Daphnia pulex: one gene and its partner. The protein of the gene in region 2 interacts with the protein of the main gene of each other region in a pairwise test. Links are inferred from orthologs where the notes say so. Each region holds a gene or a part of one and is shown on either strand. Other genes may lie near its edges. The genes, in order: growth factor receptor-bound protein 2 and WW domain-binding protein 11-like.

Region 1 (3,926 bases), on a different chromosome or scaffold from region 2:
GTCGAAAATCGAGGTTAGAACAACATAAACGGAAAAAAACTGAAAAGAAAGCAATTTTACAAACTGCTTTCAATGAGAAATGAGATGCAATCCTGTCAATCCTAGCTGTTCATCACTTTTACTGTTTTGTTATCAAAGTTAGTAATGTGTTTAGGTTCGAAGTCGGCAAAAATAACTTGAGTCTTAAGAACGGACGCACCACTTTAATACAAAAAGAAAAAAAAAATGAAGAAAAATTTATGAAGAAAAGAAAAGGAGCAAAAGAAAACGAACGAACAGTGCCTTCGCCTTTTAAGTATGATACGGGGCAACGTAAGTGGCAGGAAAGAGGCCGCGGCGGGCGCCAATTTCTCCAGTCCACCAATGTTGATCAGAACGGTCTGTCACAGTTATGACGTCGCCTCGCTTAAATTCCAATTCACCTGGTTCTTGCGGGGTGAAATCGTATAGTGCCTGCACCAAGAACTGTCGAAAATTCACACAACAATTGTTAGTCAATCCTGAGCCTAAAGGCATGGAAAAAAGAACAACTGGTAACTCACCTCTTCAGGCACCATGTCTCGTAACTTTATATCCTGAGACCGAGAAACAGATGTGGAGCGATGGTAGTCGACCAGTTCGTTGAGCGAGTTGAATTTTACCACCCACAAAAAGAACTTCCCTTGGGCATCGCGAAGTACTTTGAAGTGCTGGACACCATCGCCACATCTGCGAGACAAGAAAGAAAAAATAGAGAATAGCCTATTAACACAGAATGCACGTAACAAAGTATTGTGTAAATTTCAAACTAATTTCGAACTACAAGGAAGTAGGATGATGGCTTCCTTAGCTATAAACAAAACACACTCATCCTACAACTTAACGGGCAAAAACCTCAAGAAGGAATAAATAACACAGCAGGGCGATGAGAGAATTGTAAAAACTAAAAATGATGCAAAACTCCGGTTCAAGGCACATATATAGTTGCTTGATTACGGACGGTGGCTCAGTGGTAAGGGAACTTGACGAAAAGGCCTAACAGATAGAAAACAGAATGTACCCTAGACACGCCTAACAAGGCTAATAAAATACCAAAAAGGATAAAACTAATTACTGAAAACAGTAGGACTGACGGTTCATGAATCACGAGTCACGACTTAAGCAAAGGGTAGTCACTGCACGAGTTCCAATTTTACAAGCTGTCTTTGTTTTTTTAAGGTAAAACAAAATAGACAATTGAGATTCATTCCACCTTTGAAGTGAATAAAATTGGAATGTAAACGGATGTGTGCGTCATCAGGTTGACTCATGCACTGCATTTGGAAAGAATTCTTGCGTGATCAAATCAAATTTCTACAGAAAACCAAATACCCATGATTCTTTGAGGGAAATAGAAATAAACTGTACGTTCGGTTCATTAATTTTCTATTCAAACGCGTCTTCCTAGTAAGGTAGAACTTGTATCGTACAGTTTGGAGAGCGAGATTATAAGATATTTGATTTTACACTGATGAAAGCCTGCATGTTTGAAATTCTTTTCACGCTTCAAATGTACGTGTAGCGTCTAATCAGGATATCTGAATGCAAAGCGATATTTCTCAATATGTTTTTATAATGTGCTATTTCTACATAAATATTTTGAGAAATCTTCCCGTTTTAGGCAGTTAACGACTTACAAGCTTAGTTAATAGATGTCAACTTATCTCATTCAGATGTTCTAATGATAAGTAGTCTGGTATGCCACAAATAGATTTCAACAACATTTGAGAATAGGCAAATAATAACATCAAACATAGTAGAAGAATTCCTATGGGGCATTTCTAAACTATCTAGAGCTCTTGGTTAAGGATTTACACTGTCTATGTTTCTAAACAAAATCTATCACATTGTTATTTTAAGAACTAGATAACATACTTAACAGACAGGGAAAAGTCTCCCGGTGAGCTCTCACTGACTCTAACAACAAAAGCGCCTTCATGTTTGTTGCCCAAGAGTTTCTCTGCATCAGCTCTGGTTATTCTTCCATAGTACCAACTGTAGAAAATAAAACAACAAGTTATAATCAATATGCATTATTTTATCATAAACATTTCAACTAGGCTTACTCATGATTTTTCATTTCAATGTAGTTACTAGGAATCAACCCTTCTTTTCCATCCAATTCTGCTCTATACCAATTCAGATCATCTTCCATATTCAGAATCTACATTTGAATCAAATGAACAGGTTAGAATATTGCTATAAGCAAAAATTCCTTAAATTCTGTTGAAAGCATCATTGCTTGGTTTACCTTGAGAACTTGCCCTTTTCGAAAACTAAGCTCATCTTCAGCAGTGGCATTAAAGTCATGTTTAGAATTGGCCTCCATCTCGAAAATAACACGTTTTATGAAATCACAGATGATAAAGTATTTCTTGGCAAAACAAGCTTCAGAGAAGGAATTTCCTTTTCAAGGCTAGGCCGGATGTGCACCACGGCTACGTTTATCAAGTGAAACGGTTGTTGGCCAATCACCAAAATGTTTTGACTTCGTTCAAAGTCGAATTACACTTCTCGAAACTCAAAAACGAATAGCATTTCCCACAAATTGTTTGACAATATTGACTATCAACTGACGTATCCGTATCCACGATTGTTTGATTAACTATACACTGTTTTCGGGGCCCGACGAAAGCCAGACAGCCATAATTTTGGGAAACAACTTAGTTCTTGGCTTTGACGCACGAGCGTCACCAGTCCTTTTCTCCCAATGGAATTTTAAAGGTAAATGCTTGCGTGCCTGTAAACGTTTTTTATTTTTTCTAACTATTTTTTTTCCAAATGACTGAAATTATTTAAAATATTATTTCAATTACAGGAATATACATTTTTTATAATACAACATAATAGATGAATATTTTAAGATTTTAAATATTTAAATTTCCGTCGAATTCTTTTGGAAAAAGCAATGTGGCAACGTTATCTGCCTCATTTGAATAAATGCAAATGGTTTTCAAAAGGAATCTCGACCCAGAGATTCAGACCAGTCCGGACTTGAATTTAGAAAAGCAACGTGCAGTTCCTTTTGACTAATTTTATCGACCAAACCCTCTTACAATCTTATACAATTATTGTCAGATGATTTTCTCTTATATTGCACTGTGATTATTACAAAAATGAAGATAACTTTATATTTAGTGGCCATAATTCTCCTAGGAACTGGTAGTCATTCTAGTTTAGTAGGTTGGATTTTAGGCAGAGACAGCTCCCCTTTTAACATTTTGAGTAGTGAAAAACAATTTGATAAGCTTATGGCTGTAGCAAAAGAAGATGATAAGATTGAAGTTTCTGAACCTGATGAGAGTGCTGTGCAAGCAAGGTCTGATATTCCATTTGAGCTGTCTGTAGCTGATGAAAAATTCATTGCCGATGCACAGAAATATACTGACCTTAGTCTGAGCGAGCTGGATGTTTGCCAGCATAAAGTAAGTAAAGTACTTTGATGTTGATTCAAAGTACAATCTCACTGTTCATTAATATTAATGAACTCGTTTATAGTTAATCCTTCAATTGAAGCAAGACTGCAATGATCTCTCAGAGGAAGATTTGTCTAAGTTGGGTGTGAATCTTTTAAACTGCCAATCAAGATTGGAAGGGCGGAGAGTCTACCCATGCTCCTCTTCAATGGCAAGTTTTCTAATTAATGTATCACTTCAGCTAGTTGTAGCTAACCAGTTTATATTTTTTAGACTTTAAGGGAATGTACTTCTGACATGGATTCCGACACCTGGAATGCCTACCATATTCTATCCAATAGAGCAAGATCAGTGTGCTACGGTGCCCGCCAACAACAGTTTAGAGCACTGACTCAAATGACAGTCAACAAACTCATGGCCAGTTCTAGTCAACAATTGGGATTCATTAGAGAGCTCAAGGTTGGTTTCTTTATTGATTTTCATCACAACTGT
Region 2 (3,926 bases):
TCATCGCTAGCAAAACAATTTTGGGAAGCTTCCGAATTTAGTGAGCAACAGCTGTTGTTAATGCAGGAAACAAATTGTACGATGGGTCTTATTAATATTTCTTTATTTCTAATTTTTCAAGTGATGAAATCTTATTTCGCTCGACAGATTTAGACGTTTGCAAATTGTGCATTGCAAAACAAGAAAATCTATTTCATGATGTATGCCTTGTCCGATCGAAAATTATGGATGCAGCTTTTGACTCAGCAATTCAACTTCAGTTGTGGGAAGCGGCAATTCAATATGGAATCCCCCTGATTCAGGCGTACAAGTTATGGTATGGAGAAGAGCATCCCCTAACAGCTATACTGCTATTGAAACTCTTTAAAATTACGTTGCTAATATCAACAACGAATGATTCCGTTGCACAAAAATATTACGAAGAGGCCGCTAAAATACTTGAAATCACCCATGGAAGGGACAGTTCATTTTACCGGCAAGAGGTTAAACCTTTGATTCGTCAATTAAGCTGAATGTGAAATTTATTGAAAGCGAAAATACTGAAAATATCAGTGGAATATGGAGGATAGCTGCAGCTTAATCAGAATCTTCGTCTTCATTTTCTCGAATTGTTTTCTTGTTTTTTATCTTCAGTTTTGATTTTGTAGCTTGGCCAGGTGGAACCAAGAGGTCACCAGAATATTCAATTACATCAGCATGAGCTATCCTCCACTCTAATACTTCTGTAGTAAAGTCATCAGTATTGCCTAATTCACCAAATCCAACAACATAATCCTTGGTTTTTGCATCTTTCACTAATGCCAGTGTTGGCAAAGTTTTAATCCTCAGTCTCTCTAAAAATGGGACCAATCATTATAAGAACTTTAAAACATTTTTGACTAATAATTGATTATAGATACCTGTTAAAAAGGGACATTTTTCAGCATTAATCTTACAGAACTTAGTTTCCATGTGCTTCCTTGCAAGTATATTAAGATGCTTATCAATAACTTTGCAGCGAAAGAAGTCATCTCTGTAGAAGTGGCAAACAAAGTTTGAAGATTTTTTTGCCATCTCAAAGAACTCCTTTTCCTCAGCTATCTCGGTATACTCTCCATGCCCCTTAATAAGAAAACATTATTATCAGTAATTTTCCCAATCAACTGATCTTGAAAGTAAATCCCTCATTATAATGTACAGGATAGGAAAATTAAAGTTAAAAATATAAATCGTTAAAATTACATTGATTTTCCATTGCTGCATTTTCTGCTGCCTCAATTTCATCTCTTGTACTCGTTTCCTCCGAATATCTTCCAAGTCATCTTCCGTCAAATTGTCCAATTTGTCGATTCTTTATGAAGAGGAAATTGATACTATATAATTCTACATGCCGAAAATACGTTGTATGAAATAATACTCAGCATCGAGTTTTTCCTCGGCAGCCTTTAATATCTGATTCTGCAGGAGATTCTGAATTTGTTCCATCTTTGAAATTACAACGGGATAAAGGGATACTGTGTGACTTGACAGAAAATCAAAACGAGGCAAGATGAAAAATTTGACAGGTAAAACAAAACACGAGACAAGGGGATGGGTTTCAAAGCAGACAAAGATAACCAAGGCAACAAGTAATCGGTTGTTTCAGTATCGATAGAGCAGTTAAATCGATAACTACGATTTCACTAGTTTGATTTTTAGCTTGTGTTGAATTGTTGATGTCGTATTTCATCTTGTGTTCGTGAAAATAATAATATAGCTAAAAATGGGGAAACGCTCAATAAATACCACTAAAAGTGGGAAATTTATGAATCCAACAGATCAAGCACGTAAGTTTTTTTTTAAATTTTTATCTCATGCAACTTTCATGTACTAAAGTTTGAAAATTAACATAGTTACTACGGTGGCTTAATACTCGTTATGATCGTGACATTTTAATTGTCTATTGTGAATATCCAATATGATTGAATCACTTAGATGATCTTAATTCGGCATTAACACTTTTAGCTTTTTTTAACAGGAAAAGAGGCCAGGAGACGAGAACTGAAGAAAAACAAAAAGCAAAGGCTGCTCGTTAGGCAGACTGTTTTAAAGGGGAAAGATCCAACTACCATCTTTTCAGAACTTGAAAAAATTGATCAAATGGAATTCAACCCAATTCAATCTGCACCACTTAGTGAAAAAGTGTTAAAGGAAAAGAGGAAAAAGCTAAGGGATACATTAAATAGAATCATGAGACTCTATGAAAAAGAAGAACCTACTCAGTGGACTCAGATCAAAGCAATGGAAGTTCAGTATGAAAAAAGACGAGCTGAACTAATCATCTACTGTGAGTCAGTAAAGCACACTCAAACAGTAAACCTGGAAGAGATCCCCTTGCCAAACCTGGATTCATCAAGTACTTCAGGCTCTTTACTTCCAGCCCCTCCAGGCATTTTAAAGAAAATCAGCAGCTATGGGTAAGTTATTGCTGCAGATTAGAGTAAACAAAGTTTTAATACCCTATAATCTAAATAAATAGATTGTTCCGAAAACCACCTGGTGTTCCTTCTGTTCCACCCCCTGAAATATATGACATTTGGGATGAGGGTGATGGAGCAACAGTGGAACCTGGTGTTCCTGGAATTGACGACGAAGAAGAAGATCTCCCTCCATATCACACATACTACCAATTCATTCGTCCTCCCCTTGAAGATATCGCATTGCCCAAAGACGCTATGGAAGAAGATGCTGAAATGGATGACGACTACGATGAGGACGAAGATGATGATAGCGACGAGGACAGTTCGGAAGCAGCCTCTAAATCGGCTCCAGTAGTTCCCGAGCCCCCTCGACCTACAACACTTCAACAGCGAATGTTAGCCATTGCTGGTCAAGATGTCAACACAGTTATTCAAGAGATGGACTATTTGCATCGCCAAAAAGAAATGAACCGTCAAGTAACTCATGAAACACGAAAGGCGAGGATGGAAGCGGGAGATTTTGACGAAGATCCTTCGACGGATAATAACAAGTACCCTCCGCACATGCCACCTCACCCTTCACAGTTCCCGCGACCTCCGATGATGCCTTCCTATGGACCTTATGGTTCTATGGGCCCACCTCCGCCAATGGGATATGGTGGTTTTGCTCCTCCGCCAATTCCAGGATCGAGACTACCGCCTGGTCCTCCACCTAGAATGCCACAAGGATTAACACCACGTCTGATTCGACCTCCCGGCATGCCTCCCCCACCGCCACCAGGTTAAGCGATTAAAACTAAAAACGTTGTGTCGGAATTATTCATATCTTAATTAATAATCATATAGGTATACGCCCGGGTGCACCATCTATGCTTAGCACTCGTCCACAACTAGGTGCTGGAGCTCCGTCTAAGCCATCGTCGAAACCTACTGCTTCCATTATCGAGGCCAAGCCTCAAATGCGTAATCTAAGCGCAGATTTGACAAGATTCGTTCCTACTACGTTGAAAGTGAAGAAAGATATGCCACCCAAAAAAGATCTGGCCAAATCAAGTGCCAATCCTCATATTGAATGGAGGACTCCTCAAGTTCAGGTATGATATAACTGCTTAGTTTAACAGTAATGTAAAATACCTTGGACGTATATGTGATAGAACATAGAATTACAGATTGTATTACAGAATTTGAATTTTTTCGTAGGTTGCAACCGCCAGCAAACCCGCAACAGTAACTCAACCTCCCGTCAAAACAAAAGACGACGCTTATTCGCAATTTATGAAAGAAATGCAGGGATTTATGTAAGCGATATGTAACTTTTTTTGTTCTTGACTTTTCAATATACGAAACAATCTAGTTCTGACATTTTGGTCGAATTTAAAAAATAGGAATCGCTTAGTAAAACGTTGCCTTTCTTGGATAATCACTTACGCAATTTTTTCGGAATCTTTCTTTAGTTTCTTTCAGCCTCCCTCTGAGAGAAAAGAGACG

What was found.
Region 1: the proteins of WW domain-binding protein 11-like (region 2) and growth factor receptor-bound protein 2 interact in binary tests that used the Homo sapiens proteins (3 or more experiments, as listed by UniProt). The link is inferred for Daphnia pulex from reciprocal best matches to the Homo sapiens genes WBP11 and GRB2.

Annotation. Positions count from the first base shown.
Region 1 is NC_060028.1:9,115,282-9,119,207, forward strand, and holds the start of growth factor receptor-bound protein 2, read right to left. Parts: upstream 2,744-3,926; 5' UTR 2,348-2,743; coding exon 2,270-2,347; intron 2,183-2,269; coding exon 2,085-2,182; intron 2,014-2,084; coding exon 1,894-2,013; intron 709-1,893; coding exon 543-708; intron 466-542; coding exon 292-465; 3' UTR 1-291. Other genes in the region: protein brambleberry-like, read left to right, coding at 3,135-3,443, 3,517-3,645, 3,708-3,893. UniProt on the Homo sapiens protein: Non-enzymatic adapter protein that plays a pivotal role in precisely regulated signaling cascades from cell surface receptors to cellular responses, including signaling transduction and gene expression.
Region 2 is NC_060017.1:96,780-100,705, reverse strand, and holds WW domain-binding protein 11-like, read left to right. Parts: upstream 1-1,645; 5' UTR 1,646-1,741; coding exon 1,742-1,805; intron 1,806-1,996; coding exon 1,997-2,435; intron 2,436-2,497; coding exon 2,498-3,219; intron 3,220-3,284; coding exon 3,285-3,532; intron 3,533-3,638; coding exon 3,639-3,740; 3' UTR 3,741-3,798; downstream 3,799-3,926. Other genes in the region: histone-lysine N-methyltransferase SMYD3-like, read left to right, coding at 1-76, 148-512; thioredoxin domain-containing protein 9-like, read right to left, coding at 577-833, 900-1,101, 1,222-1,330, 1,397-1,464. UniProt on the Homo sapiens protein: Activates pre-mRNA splicing. May inhibit PP1 phosphatase activity.